Rhinolophus ferrumequinum: one gene and its partner. The protein of the gene in region 1 purifies or fractionates together with the protein of each later gene. This does not show direct contact. Links are inferred from orthologs where the notes say so. Each region holds a gene or a part of one and is shown in the gene's direction. Other genes may lie near its edges.

The links. Proteins that work in one complex are often made in the same cells at the same time.
Region 2: the proteins of DHX38 (region 1) and PPP4R3A purify together in Homo sapiens (co-immunoprecipitation; 3 studies listed by BioGRID and IntAct, with this or other methods). This does not show direct contact. The link is inferred for Rhinolophus ferrumequinum from reciprocal best matches to the Homo sapiens genes DHX38 and PPP4R3A.

What each region holds. Positions count from the first base shown.
Region 1 is NC_046298.1:20,680,496-20,687,559, reverse strand, and holds the start of DHX38 (pre-mRNA-splicing factor ATP-dependent RNA helicase PRP16), read left to right. Parts: upstream 1-4,051; 5' UTR 4,052-4,345; intron 4,346-6,423; 5' UTR 6,424-6,437; coding exon 6,438-6,760; intron 6,761-7,064. Other genes in the region: TXNL4B (thioredoxin-like protein 4B), read right to left, coding at 601-732. UniProt on the Homo sapiens protein: Probable ATP-binding RNA helicase. Involved in pre-mRNA splicing as component of the spliceosome.
Region 2 is NC_046289.1:10,856,066-10,863,180, forward strand, and holds the start of PPP4R3A (serine/threonine-protein phosphatase 4 regulatory subunit 3A), read left to right. Parts: upstream 1-4,111; 5' UTR 4,112-4,159; coding exon 4,160-4,301; intron 4,302-7,115. UniProt on the Homo sapiens protein: Regulatory subunit of serine/threonine-protein phosphatase 4. May regulate the activity of PPP4C at centrosomal microtubule organizing centers.

The sequences.
Region 1 (7,064 bases):
TATCAGCAACAGAAACGGTGGAGGAGGCCTTAGTCCTGGGGTAAGTCTCTCTCCATAATAAACAGAGACAAGAATCAACCTACTCTGTCCCATCTGGCCCTCCCTACTCATCAGTGTGAAGATGAGTTGTGAGGTCAGAGATTATCGTCAGGCACACACTGGAGCAGCACACGAGTAAAGCCTATCTGCAGGCAGAGAAAACAAAGTTCAATTCGAGCTCTACGATTCAGTGGGTCTGTGCCTGCGGGAGGTCACGTGACCTCACTGGCATTCATCTCCCCCTTGGGAATAGGAATAGTCGTGATCCCGCTGTGTGAGCACTGAATAAGATAATGTTCATAGCCGCTTGTTAGTAACATTTCCGGTCTTCTATTGCCTTGTTGGTGAAGTGGAGCTCTCACAGTTGCTAGTGGAGATGGACATCCAGGACAGACTCAGCACAATCACAGATTTAGGGATTCGGCACTTAGTGAAGGCGTGCTAACACATGATCAGCTGTATTCCCACGCCCTGCCTGCGCCCTTTCATGCACTTTGCAGATGTTGAAGTGAGGATGCAGAGATTTTTAATAAAAAACATTTGTTTAAAAAATTCACTTACGATATCATCTAGCTGCAGACAGACAGCATCCTCGTCTCTCCCAAACCTGAGAACCAACACTTTCTCTGCAGTGCTTTTTATCACCTGGTCAACTTCTTTTTTGCTGGTCAGCTTGGGCAACAGGAAGCTCATCTTGAAATCATCCAAATATTAATCCTCACTGTCAGTCCTGAAATAAAGTTGCAATGTTTAAAGGCAGATTAAGTACATGAGTCCTAATTTTTAAAAAATGTTAATTTTTGAAGTAGGTGATAATGTTTGTTTTCCCCAGAGGAAAAAAGAGGTTCCTATAAGACAGTATTAAAAAAGTAAAAGGAACACACTAAATGCACAAAGAGGTGACAAATAAGTCCACTCGTTTAAAAAGCAACAATATAGAAAGATATACTGTGAAAACCCCCTGTCCCTGTCTTACCCTCCACCCCTCTAACTTACCTGACTGGCCTAGTTCCCACGGCCCCATTTCTCCCCACACACCAGGTAACTACTTTCATTAGTTTCTTATGTACCTCCCAGAATTTTGTGATGCATTCCCTAGAAAATATAAATATGCATTCCTATGTTTTCTCCTTCTTTTACCCCCCAAATAGCCTTTTCTATCAGTCAATGTTCCAGTAGGAAAGAGATGAAATCCTCACATTTGGTTATTTGAAGGGATTTTTATTAAGGCAGGGTATAGGAAAACTACAGGGTTCAGTGCTATAGTCTGGGGCTAGTAACAGTGGGGCACTCTTCCCACCCCTAGGCCTGAAGGAGAATGGGAGGGAGTAGTCACCAAAACTGTGTGGTGGAGACTGCTGAGTGGAGAAGGCCGCTGTATAGGAGGTCAGCCTGCATGCAGTAAGGGGTGCAGCCACTTTCCTCCCTCCCTCCCTCTGCTCTCCACTGGCTGACTCCACCTGGAAACAAAGGATTAGGGAGCTGCAGAGCTCGACAAGCCTTCTGGTCCCAGAGCTGTCTAGAGGAGGAGGAAGAGTGGCTCTAGAGGGGCAAATGACAGATGTCCAGCACACATATGATGTCTTTACCCACTCTTCTGCACTTTGCACTCTTTTAAACCTAACATACGAAGACTGTCCCATATCCACACACAGAAAATGTACACATTCTTTGTCACAGCGGCATACTATTTCATGCATGTATTTCATGCATACTTTTTACACAGTCCTTTATTGATGAACATTTGTATTATCATGAGTCCTGGCTTAACGATTCTTGGTGCATCTTACTAGGTGCACCCCATCACATGGCAAACAGATCAATTAAGAGCGTGGAAAACCACACACACACACACACAAATCATAAAATACTGAGTTAGAATGGGCCTAATCCATTCTGTATGCAGCCCCTCATTTTACAGACTAGTTTGCATATAGTTACTCTTCTAGCTACAAGAACAAGAAATACAATCCAGGTCACCAAATTTCTAGTCTAGCATTCCTTCTACTACAATTAGTTCCTATTTTACTTATTTTTAACTTTTATTTACTTTAAGTGTGTTTTTCCAGGACCCATCCGCTCAGAGAAAAGTAGTTGTTTCAATCTAGTTGTGGAGGGCGTAGCTCACAGTTGCCCATGTGGGGATCGAACTGGCAACCTTGTTGTTAAGAGCACCATGCTCTAACCAACTAAGCTAACCTGCCGCCCCAATGTGCTATTTGAAAGTTGAGAAACTTTTTGATCAAACTTTGTTTTTGAGTCCATCCACAAGAAACCCATTAAGTTACTTAATATTTCAAATTCAGTTCCAAAGTTGGCTAATGCTTTGAAAAGGGAGGATTTTTTCTCTCTCTCTCTTTTTTTTTTTTGGTGACAAGTCACATTTTAAGATGTGAATTGATAAAAATTCATATAGGAAATGAAACCGTTCCAGTAATAGGTGATACTTTAAATAGGGAAGCTGATTACGAGGACTCATCAAATGTGAGTGGCAGAACAAATTACTGATGAAAGTTAAAGAGAATATGGATCTGTCTCACGACTAGAATTCAAACAAACAGCAACTCCTGTTTATTACTAAGAGGAAGACATGAGGGGAGGGCAAAGCTGTCAACGGATGGAGAGGGACTGGATAAATGTTGGAAGGAGGAGGGAAACTGAGACCACACTTAATAGAATGTCTACAGCAAAGGATACTAAAAGAGAAGTCATAAAAGAGGTACAAACGGACAATAAACATATTTGGCAAGTTAAGCTTTACTAGTAAGGAAAGAACAGCAAATTAAAAGATGTATTTTTAAACTCCATTAAATTGGCAAAGATTAAACAATAATGGCAATAGAGTGAATGATGGGCAGGCATTCACGGTCCCTGCTGGAATGTAGATAAACAAACCTTTTCTTGTAAGAAAGCTGAAATACTCTTTAGCCAAAATTTCCAGTTCTGAGAGTTAGTTCTCAGTAAATAGACGTATGCACAAATATTTACATACAAAGGATATTCCTCACATTTAAAATGGTGAAAAACTGGAAATCAATTTAAATGGCTACTTAATAGGGCATTGGTGAAATAAAAGATAGTACCGTCCTACAATGTACAACCACTACATACTATGTCAGACGTGTACATTTCAGATAATGAATAGTTCTCAAGATAAAGAAAAAAGTTATAACACAGTGTGATCCCACACTCTATAGTTTAGGTGCAAAACCTAATTATAATGCAAATGTACATTTTTACAAAGAAAAATAACTGGGAATGAATGTCCCCAGACACCATCAGTGGCTATCTCTGCGTGTGAACAGATGGGTGACTTTTATTTACATCGGAATGTGTCTTTATTTTTCCAAAACATTCGACCTCGTTGACCCGTAACAAACGCGGGAGTAAGGCACCTATGACCTGCGGAGTCGAAAAATCGCGCATAACTTAAGTCGGCCCGCCACTGTACGCGGATTCCCAACAACTCATCAAAAATACAGTTGACCCTTGAAAAACGCGGGTTCAAACAGCGCCGTTCAAACCCGTCGTTGTTCAAGGGTCACTGGTAAATTTTTAATGTCTGTGGTTGGGGTCCTCCTGGCCCAAAACTACTAGGGAAGGCGATACTTACTTTCTTTGTGCAAGTCGCCTCTCTCTTCAACTTCAGGACTGTCAGCAACCCGTCCCCTTTTCCAGAGTCGGGACACTGGCGGCTCCTTTCTTCCGCCGGAAACACCACAGCGACGCGAATCCAAAGTAACCGAGAGACCGCTGTCCAGCAACCCTGGCGGCCCACTTAAGGAGACGGAAACGGAAAAGGAAAACGCACAGGCGCAGTAGAGACACGCGCCGCCGTCCCCGCTCAACAGCCCAATAAAGCAGAAGTTGTTGTAGTCACTGTCCCCTGTATCGAGCTCTAACCGGAAGCCTTAGGTCATTTCCGCCCTTATTAAAGATGACAGACCTCCTCCTTTTCCCTTTCACCCGTTCAGAGTAGAGGCGGGGCCAGGCCTCTCAGACTAAGTGTGATTGGTCGCAACGAGACTCGGAAGTGTCTCTGATCAGAGTCCCAGAGTAAGGCACTCTAGCCTTGAGGAACTGGTCGCGTTATGTCCCATACTTGGAGCCAGGAACCAGCATTTTCCGGGTTGCTCTCTATGGTCTCTCTTTGGAAGGATAGAAGGAGCCGCACAAGGTATTATGGGACAGTAATGGCGGCTTTCAAGGTGCGGATTTTGGCTCTCTAAGGAGAGCTGAGGAAGAGCTAGCGGCGCCGGCGCCCCAGCGTCTGGGACAGGAGGTCCCGAGAGTCGGGCTTGGTGAGGTGAGTGTCCTTTTCCCTTCCTGACCTGCCGTTCGCCAATCATGGCGGCTCCAGGCAGCGGATATCGGTCCCTCGCTCAGGTTCGGGCCCGGGTTTGGAAAGTCTGGTTCCTGCCACCCAACTTGCCTTACTCATCCTAGGGATCCTGCGCAGGTCTGGCCTGGCCTGGCTTTTCTCTTTGTTCAGGTCAGATCCTGCTGCCCGGCGCGGCCTCTCTGAGGTCCAGGGATGCTACTCGGGGGTCAACCGTGTACCCTTCCTTAGGCCTCCGCGTTAGGCCACTCGCGGACGCACGCCGAGCCCAGTAGGGTTCCTCGTGTCTTCCTCTTCTCTGTCACGGCGGTATCTATCAGGTGATCTCCTCTACTAGAATGTTAACTCCAAAGGGTGCGGATTTTTGTCTGTTTTGTTCTCTGTTCAATCCCTGTTGCCCATAACAGCGATTGGCTCACAGACGAGTAGGTACTCAATATTTGTTGAAGGAGTAAATCCAGTTACTTGCTTCATTGTTTTTCTCGTAACCCTTTGTAGCTTCTTTGCCATTAATTCTGCTCCACAATCCAACTCCTTAACTCCTTATTTGTTCTCAGCAGCTATGTAGTTAAATCCTGCTGTCAGACTCCTTGACCTGTGCTGCTGGAATCTTCCCTTGCTGTCTCTAGAAATGTTTCACTTCCCTTTAATCAGTTTAAATTCATTCATCCATTTATTCAAACGTTATTCAATGTTTATTTTGCCAGGCACTGAGTAGGGCATCAACAAGACTGACAAGGTTCTCTCTCCTGCATAGAATGGCATTCTAGGGGTATACATTCTAGTTCAGACTACATCTGAGCAGAGCCTTTTCAACTTCAGGACTGTCAGCAACCTGTCCCCTTTTTCTGTTTAGATTTTCTCAAATGTGTACAGATGTCACCAATATGCAGTTTTCCCTTCTATCTGCCTAACAGCATTTTTCAAAATGCAGCTCTTGTTCCTTTGTCCATAATATATGTCCAGTCTGTTTGGCAATATTCCTCTATAGAGCTGTGCATGTTAATTAGAGCTGGGCAGAACATTCTAGATTCTGGTGGTATACTACCTCTTGACAGTTCCTTTGCTTCACTGACTTGTTGGAATGAGGGGAATTATCCAAGCACCCAGAATTGGTGTATCTTTATAAGTGGATGCTGTGAAATAGGAAGTAAAGAGGAATTTGTTATAAGTGCTAGGAAATCCATTTTTTAACCTAGTGCTTCTCATCAGTATTTTTGGTGAACATGGATTGTTGTTAAACAGATTTCGATTGCTGTGAGGTAATTCTTTTCTACAAAACATAACTGGTCCCCCCCATACCCCACAAAACCACTAAAGTATGGATCACATGGGTGGTAGGTACCCTTATACCCCAATATCTCTGCTGTGTCTGTAGTTAAAGGGAGTGAGAAGTAGAAGAACTTGTGTAAAAAAATGGTGAGGGACCCAATTCAATATATAGGAGCACAGCAAATAATACAATGTAACAATTTCATTTATGTAACTCTTTATATTTTCAAAGAAGTTTCACATACACTTTCTTGTTTGATTCTCACAATAACTCCATGGATTACATGTAAAACAGAAAGTATTTCCGTTTTACAGATAGAGAAATTATGCCCAATCAAAGATTAAGTTATTTGCTTACAGTCATACAGGTAGAAAATGTCAAGAGCCTGGATTCCAATTGAGGTTTCTGACTTCAAATCTAATGGTATTTCCCTTATGCTCCCTTTATAGATGCCATCATGTTTTAGTAAGTGTGCCACAGTGAGACCAGAGGATGATACTTGCTTGGGTCCTGGTGTTTGGGGGTGGATGCGGCGTGTGTGTGTGTGTGTGTGTGTATCTCTGATGTGTTGCAGTGGGAGTAGGAGGGTCTTTTGAGATTATCAGTGACTTGATGGAAAGGTCTTAGCAAGAGGTGCTAAAGAAATCCTGGTTTTAAGGGGGAGTTTAACCCCCTAAAGATACCTACAACTATAGTTATCTTGGGATACAGCAAAACCAAGCCCTCTCCCTCTTATGTCCAATACAAAATGGTTTGTCTTCCTTCTGAGAAGTCCCGGAACCTGTCATGGAGGACACCAGTGAGGAGACCTCGATCCATAGACTGGAAGGCACTGATCTGGACACTCAGGTTGGCGGTCTTATTTGCAAGACCAAAAGTGCAGCCAGTGAGCAGCATGTGTTCAAGGCCCCTGCTCCCCGCCCTTCATTGCTGGGACTGGACTTGTTGGCTTCCCTGAAACGGAGGGAGCGAGAGGAGAAGGATGATGGGGAGGACAAGAAGAAGTCCCGAATCTCCTCCTATAAGGACTGGGAAGAGAGCAGGGACGAGCAGAAGGATGCTGAGGAGGACAGCAATGACCAGGCTGGCCGAAGCAGCCGGAAAGACAGGTAAAGGCTTTAGGGTGTTTGACCCAAAGGGAATGAAAATGGAGGCCAGAAAATAATGGCCCATGTTTATCGCTCAGTTTTCTTGTTGGACGTGGAGAGCTTTATGATTTTATTATGGTTCTTTAATATTGAGGGTAAATAGGAATTGTATTTTCTTCAGATTTGTGGGAACATTCAAAGGAGACTAAAGAATAGATGCTGGAGATTAGAAATGCTTTGGATTGTTGCCATATGTATGCTTTCAGTACCTGGGGGATAAAATGGAAAAGGATGGGTCACTTGTTTGGCACAGCTAAAGGTTTGG
Region 2 (7,115 bases), on another chromosome or scaffold:
TCTTTTCATCCCATCCATAATAGCCATTTCTTAGAATGTAGAATGTTTTTATAATTTTCAGGAAAACAGTTACTCTTCAGCGCAATAATTGAAATCTACCCCAGGGGCTTTTAAACAAATAGATATCCTTGCCATAATATGTGGTAACACACTGCACAATAGTGGCCGGAAGCCGTAAGTAGGGCAACTTGTACGAAATGCTTTGGATACTGTTAAGCAAATATTTAAAATGTGTCTTAAAAATAGCATGGTGCTATGTAATAAAATGCTTATAAATGTCATGAAAATGCTAAGGTGTGATCATATTGGCATCTGTCTTTATGGAGAGAATTTAATGATTCTATTATTCTTACATTCATTGCTGCACACTTACAGAATGTGAAAGCCAGAAGTGTTGTTAAAGATCATCTCATTGGGATTAGAAAACTGAGGCCCAAAGGGGTTAAGTGTTTTATACGAGGTCACCAGTTTAGTGGCTGAACTCTTATAAGGGCTCGGCTCTTCTAACGGTTGGTGCCATGCCCTTCCCCTCACACAGATACCATTATCTTCACGTCCGATATGTTGGTCATCTGTATGGACGGGCATTCAGGAGTCCAGGGACAGCATTGTCCCTGTCCTTTCCAGGGTTTTTAGCAACACTATAAAAGCAGGCAACACTATAAAAGGATAAATGCAACATGGACAAAGGTAAGTAACATAGAGTAGGTATAAATATTGCATAATGAATTGGCTCCACTGCGTGTGTTACAAGTTTATGTTCTGCATGAAGGGTTCAGAGGAAAAGCTTTATGTTTAGAGCGCAGGAGGAATCAGGATCTTATTTAATCCTTACAACAACCTTCGAAGTTATTATTATTCCTATCTTATGGAAAGGTTAAGAAACTTGCAAATGTCACACAGCTACTAAGAGGAGCTAGACTCAAAATACAACACCCACACTTGACCACTGACAGTGTATCTCAACCTTTTGTGTTTTGCAACCCCCCCCCCCCCCCCCCCCCCCCCCCCCCGTTATTGAACTCCATTAGGAATTTTCTTAAATTGTATCACTATTTGTGCATGGTATAGGATTAAGTGGTTTTAAACTATTTATTTGCCACTGTGATAGTTTTGTGTCAATTTGGCTAGGCAATCAATAGTATCCAGTTACTCAAACAGTAATCTAGGTGTTGCAGTGAGGGTATTTTGTAGATGTGATTCACATCTTTGACATTAAGTGAAGATTATCCTAGGTGATCTGGGCGGGCCTCATCTATTTAGTGGAAAGACCTTCAGACCAAAACTGAGGTTTCCCTGAGGAAGAAATTCTGTCTGTGGACTGTAGTGTCAGCTCCTGCCCAAGAGTTTCTATCCTGCTGCTGACCTGCCCTGTGTATTTCTGATTTGCCTCACCATACCCCACTATAACATAAACAATTCCATGACATCTGGGTAGATGTATCCTGCTGGTTGTTTCTCTGGTAGAACCCTGACTAATACAACTCAACTGTTATTTAAGATTATATTAAACAGTTCATTTAAATATAATTGTCTATATTACTTGTTACATATCATTTTAAATTTTTTTCATGTAATAAATAATTCCTATTTAATTTACCTTAAAAGTATATTATAAGGAAACATGATCTTTCCACAAATCATTTCGTTTTTGGTTTGGGGATCAAATAAAGTAACGTGAATAAATTTAATGATGTCTTACTGTGTCAAAAATGGACAAAATTGTTGCTACCTCCTCATGCTTGAAATTATTACATTTTACTTTTTAGAAAAAAATTGCTTTTTTTTTTTTTTTTTTTACAATTTCTAATTTTGCTTATAAATGATGAACGTCTCAGGCTGCTCTTTGCAAGCACTTCTTTGTATTTGACGTGGTAGGGGAGGAAGGTCCCAACTTCTGATTTTAAAACTGAAATCCCACATCCTGGAAAACCACTCAGCCCTGGTCATGCCATCCAGGCCTCTTTCAGAATAGATGGGTATAACTCCAACTACGTGGCTAGTTTGAATATGAAATTCCTGGTAACGTTAAGCACCTGAACATGCCATAACAGTAGCCACCAGCCACACATGGCTGCAGAGTGCTTGAAATGTGGCTACAGGAACTGAATTTTATACTTTATTTAATGTTAATTAAATGGAAAAAAACCCTGATACTTGATTCATTTTTGAAAACATTTTAAGTATGTTTGAAATAATTTGAGTATGTGAATCTACTTGTTCAATAGTAAATTTTAATGAAATCTCATTACACATCAGGTATTTCCAACGAAAATTTAGTATCCAAATAGAAATTTACACTAAGGGTAAAACACATACCCCATTTTGAACTTAGGACGAAGGGAACTTAGTACGAAGAAAAAGAATGTAAAATATTTACTATTTTATTATATTGAAGAGATTGCATTCAGTAAAATGTTATTACATTTCAGAAATTTCTTACTTTTTTTAAAAAAGTGGCTACTGTAAAATTTAAAATTACATATATTGCTCAAATTTTATTTCTAGTGGACAGCAATGACCTAAATAGTCTGGCAAATGGAAAAAGCCCCCAAAATGGTGGCTATTATCTGCATGAGAGGAATGAGAACGTGATTTTTGAAGATTAGCAGTGCTTAACATGTAATGTCGAGAATTATTCATCGTGATTTTACAGTATCGTATGTTTTTTGTAAGCCCCTCAAGTTCTTTTTGTAACATGGAGAGCTGGAAGATAACTTCTGAAAAAGGATAAAGAAATGGAGGTAGCAGCTGGATTGTAAGGTGGTTGGTTTTAGACTTGGCACTTCCTAGGTTTGGTCCCAGGCCCAGAAAATGCAAAGTGTCCCACGTTTCTAGACTCGCTCGCTACACCAGTACGAGCCCAAAGCAGCTCCCAAGACCTGTGGCTGATCTCGTTCCCAAAACCTGTGGCCCTTGCCGGAAGCTTTTCAATGTATTCCCAAAGGAGAAATGGCTGAAGTCAGCGAGACTCCAGCGCCCCCAGAACTGCGCGCTGTGGATGCCCCAGTCCAGCCCCAAAGGCGGCCCGGAAAGCACAGTCGGGAAGCGGGTGTCGGGAGCGCAGCTGGAGGGCCCCAGGCCGAAGTGGCCCGGGGGCTGCACAGCGAGCCACGCGGGGAGTCGGCGGGCAGACTCAGAGCCCAAGACACTAAGCGCGCGGCGGGTAAGGAGCAGGCCGGCACAGGCGGCCACAGGCCGGCTCCACGCCCCTTCCGAATCCCCAAGCTGAGCTGATGACGAACACAGGGTGCGACGGACGCACACACCGCCCAGCGCCCGCACGACAGTGCGTGCAGGGAGCGCGAGGGAGCCCCGGGCCGTCACCGGTGCGACCAGCGTTCCGCCTCCTTCGCACCCGGCGCTCCCGCCACCTTGGCAACTCGGCGCCCGCCAACCGCCTCCGTCTGAGGCTTTCGATGCATTGAGGCTCCCGGCCTCGCTCCTGTCTCTTTAAATGGTGGGACCAACGGGCCGCCCCTGCAGCTGCTGCCTGGGTGGCCCCGCGCGCCGCTATTGAGGGGCGAACCAAGATGGCGGCGGCTTTGGCTCTGTGAGGAAGACGGAAGAGGCGGCGGCAGCGGCAAAGGAAAGGGACTGCCCGCAGCCACGAGCGCTCGGCGCCTGGGGGCTCTTGGAGTCTCCCGCGCAGTGGTAGCAGCTGCGGCAGGAGCAGGCGCCCGTCGGCGTCGGACATTTGAAGCAGGGAAGCGGAGTGGAGCCACCGGCTACGGTGGCAGGGCCAGGTATAAGGAAGGAAAACATGGCGGCGGCGGCCTGAGGAGGCGGCGGCGGCGCGGGAAGCGGCTTCGCGGAGATCATGGCGGAGGCGGGAGCAGGGCAGTGACCGGCGCCCCGAGTACCTACCGCGGCGGGACGAGAGGCTGCTAAGCGCTGCGCGCCCCACTCGGGGCGGCCGGGCTCGCCGGGCCTGGACAATAGCGCCGAGGCACCAGAGGCGAGGAAAGGCGGGGGTCCAGAGCTCGGGCCCGGCAGCGGGCCATGCGGGCGGCAGCGCGGCCCCGCGGCGGCCAGCGACGGCAGTGAAGCCGGGGACCCCTGCGCTTGCGGGCGTCCTCCCGCCTCGGCTCCCGCCTCCCCCGGACCCCCTTCCTGGGCGACTCCGGCGGGGCCTTTGCCCCGGCTCCTGGGCGGCACGATGACCGACACCCGGCGGCGGGTGAAGGTTTACACGCTTAACGAGGACCGGCAGTGGGACGACCGTGGCACCGGGCATGTGTCGTCCGGTTACGTGGAGCGGCTGAAGGGCATGTCCCTGCTTGTCAGGGCGGAGAGCGATGGTAGGTGAATCCCTGCTCCGCGGGACCCTCGCCTCCCCCACGGCCCTCGGCCACGGCCCTGGTTCTTGGGGCCAGTGTCCCTCTCCGTCCGTGGACGGAGGGGGCGGCTACCGCCTCGGTGGTGGGCGGGCCACGGGTACCCCAGTCTTCACCGAGAGCGTTCGAAACGTTTTTTTCTCCGAGTGCCTGGTGGCACTTGCGAGCACGAGTGGAGCCAGGCACGTCTGGGCTGTTGCCTGAGAATGTGGAGGGGTCGGAGACCTGGGATCGGGAGCCCGCACGGGGCTGTTCTTTTGCACTAGAGTGACCTTGAGAAAAGGCACTGATTAATCCGATCTGCCTCCCTAGGCCACCCATCTGGAAAGCAGGCATGAAACTTTCCTCGGAGCTAAGAAAGTTCTTAGCTGTTTCACTCTTGGGAGAACATTTCCCTGTGCTTTACTTGAAAAACAAACAAACAAACAAAACTGTTACATCTTGCCGATCCTGTTGCAGGTTGGCAACCCTGGTGCGTGGTTCTGGCAACTACACTCGGCCGAGAAAATGCTTCTTTGCCGTAAGAAGATAGATTTGTGTTCCCCAGTGTTGTCTTTTTGTTGTAGAATCTTCTGTGCAGTTTAACTGTGGAAACGACTTTCAAGTTTGGAATCGTTTTATGCGAGCTTTATTGACTGCTTAAATGTATATCCATAATTTGGTTCAGTTAACAGGTGGGGAAAAGTTTGCAGAGCGCTTTAAATCCGTGTCAATCTGCCCTAGCGCCTATGCTTCGCATATTTGGAAACAGCCCTCCAGGTTCAAAGACCAAGTTGTTTGGAAATAAGCGTTTCACATTTTTAAAGACGTAACTCTTTTTAGGGATTGCTCCTTCCCTCCGTGGCATGTTCACGTCAGGTAACACTATTTTCAAGTTGTTTCTTCTCAAGTTGAAAACCTGTCTTGTTACATTAATCTATAGTCTTGTTACATTAGTAGCAAACTATTTCAGTTTATTATGATTGTGGTTGCTCTGTATCTGAATTATTACGAACCCATTTCAAATTTTAATAGGACTCACCTCAAGCCAGAACTGCAATTGCATGAAAAACAAACAAGACTCATCGTTGTGTAACTGAAGACTTCAGGGACATGATTTTCAGTTTGAATTGAGAAGTGGTAATTGGGAGTCGATGGCCCACAGGTTATCCTAATATGGCTGCCAAAATGACTTAAAACTGGAGGAAAATTGTTTCCTTTTAGAGGCATTTAAAGGGTTTTGAATACGTCGAGTATATTTTTCTGAGGTTTATTTGCCTCTTAAAATACAAGTTTGTTAGTGTGCTCTTTGTACATGACTGTCAGAACTATACCCTGTACATCTTTGGATGCTTGGGAAACTTAACAGTGAATTGGAAGGTACGGGCTTTGTATGTTCAGTTGACTTCTTTTGAGATGAAAGCATGTGTAGATTTGAGATCACTTCTTAGAAATCTCATAATTTGAAATAAGGTGTATAATTTTACTTCACATTATGTGTTTAATTGGACTTATACAAAGTTTTTAAAAGTATTTTTAAGCATTATGTCTCAATGTCATACTATCATAGGAAATCATACTCTTCTAATACAATAATATAGGAATCTGGTTTTTTCTCCCCATTTTTATTTTTACCACTTTAGAAATAGCCGCTAATCTCCTTCCTTCCCTTGGGAAGGTTTGGGGTCCTGCAGTAAAGCAAATTGAATGGTTGAAACAAAATAGATTTAATTTTTATCTAATAGGGAAAGAGATGAAATAAATTAACTGATGTGCCCTTGTTAAACTTAAGTTGTATGGAGAACTAAATCCAAAGAGTGCGCTTAGAAAATTCTAGAATACTTGTGAAATGATCTTTAGTTTGACATTTTTTTAACAGGAAAGAATAATCAAAATTTACTGAGTGCCTACTATGTGCCAGAGACTCTTTACTTGTATCCTCTGGTGTAGGAACTATTATTAACCATATTTTACAGATAGGAAACTGGGGCTCAGAAAGGCTAAATAACACAGCTTGGTTAAGAAGCAAGATTAGCTTTCAAACTGGGTTTGATTAACTAATAGCTTGAAACTAGTATTACCAATTATTTATTATCATTAACTGTTTACAGTGTGTTTTAAATTGCCATATTGCTGTCAGCTTGCATTTGCTGCTTTATACTTAGACTCAAGGTTTATCTCAAAGAAAATGAAAACAATTTTTAGCTTAAAGATGTTTAAAATTATAGTTTATTTCCAAGCCACACATGGGAGTTTTTGTACTGACTGCTAGTTTGGGTTATCCATTGTGTGCTTTTCCCAATTCTCCATTATAGGGTAATTGAGAATTTTCTTTTTATTGTGACAAGCAAAATAGAAAGTGTTTCTGATTTTCTATAAAATGCATCATTTATCTTTAGAGGAGCTTATATACTTATCTGAAAGTATAAGTATATACTTGTACTTCTGGATCAAAATCAGGAGTGCAATTTCTGAATGGAAGTACTTGTGGCCCCCCTGTTAACAGGCACATCTGTCTGGTAAGTATGCTCCTTCCCCTAAAGCTGAGTGGCCTGGCAAAGTTGTAGCCCACCTTGCCTTGGAGGAGATAGATGTCCCACCAAGCTACTGAGCCCATTTTCTGGATTGCATCCTTATTCAGTGGGTTCCTACTGGCAAAATATGTTGTAGGAGGACTTCCATAAAGATAGGTTACCTCATTTCTCAGGGGTTTTTTGTAGCTATATACCTGCAAAGTTCCATCTTCCAATAAAGATCACTTAGTGTTGTTTTTTCAGTATTGCTCTTTCAGCTTTTGCT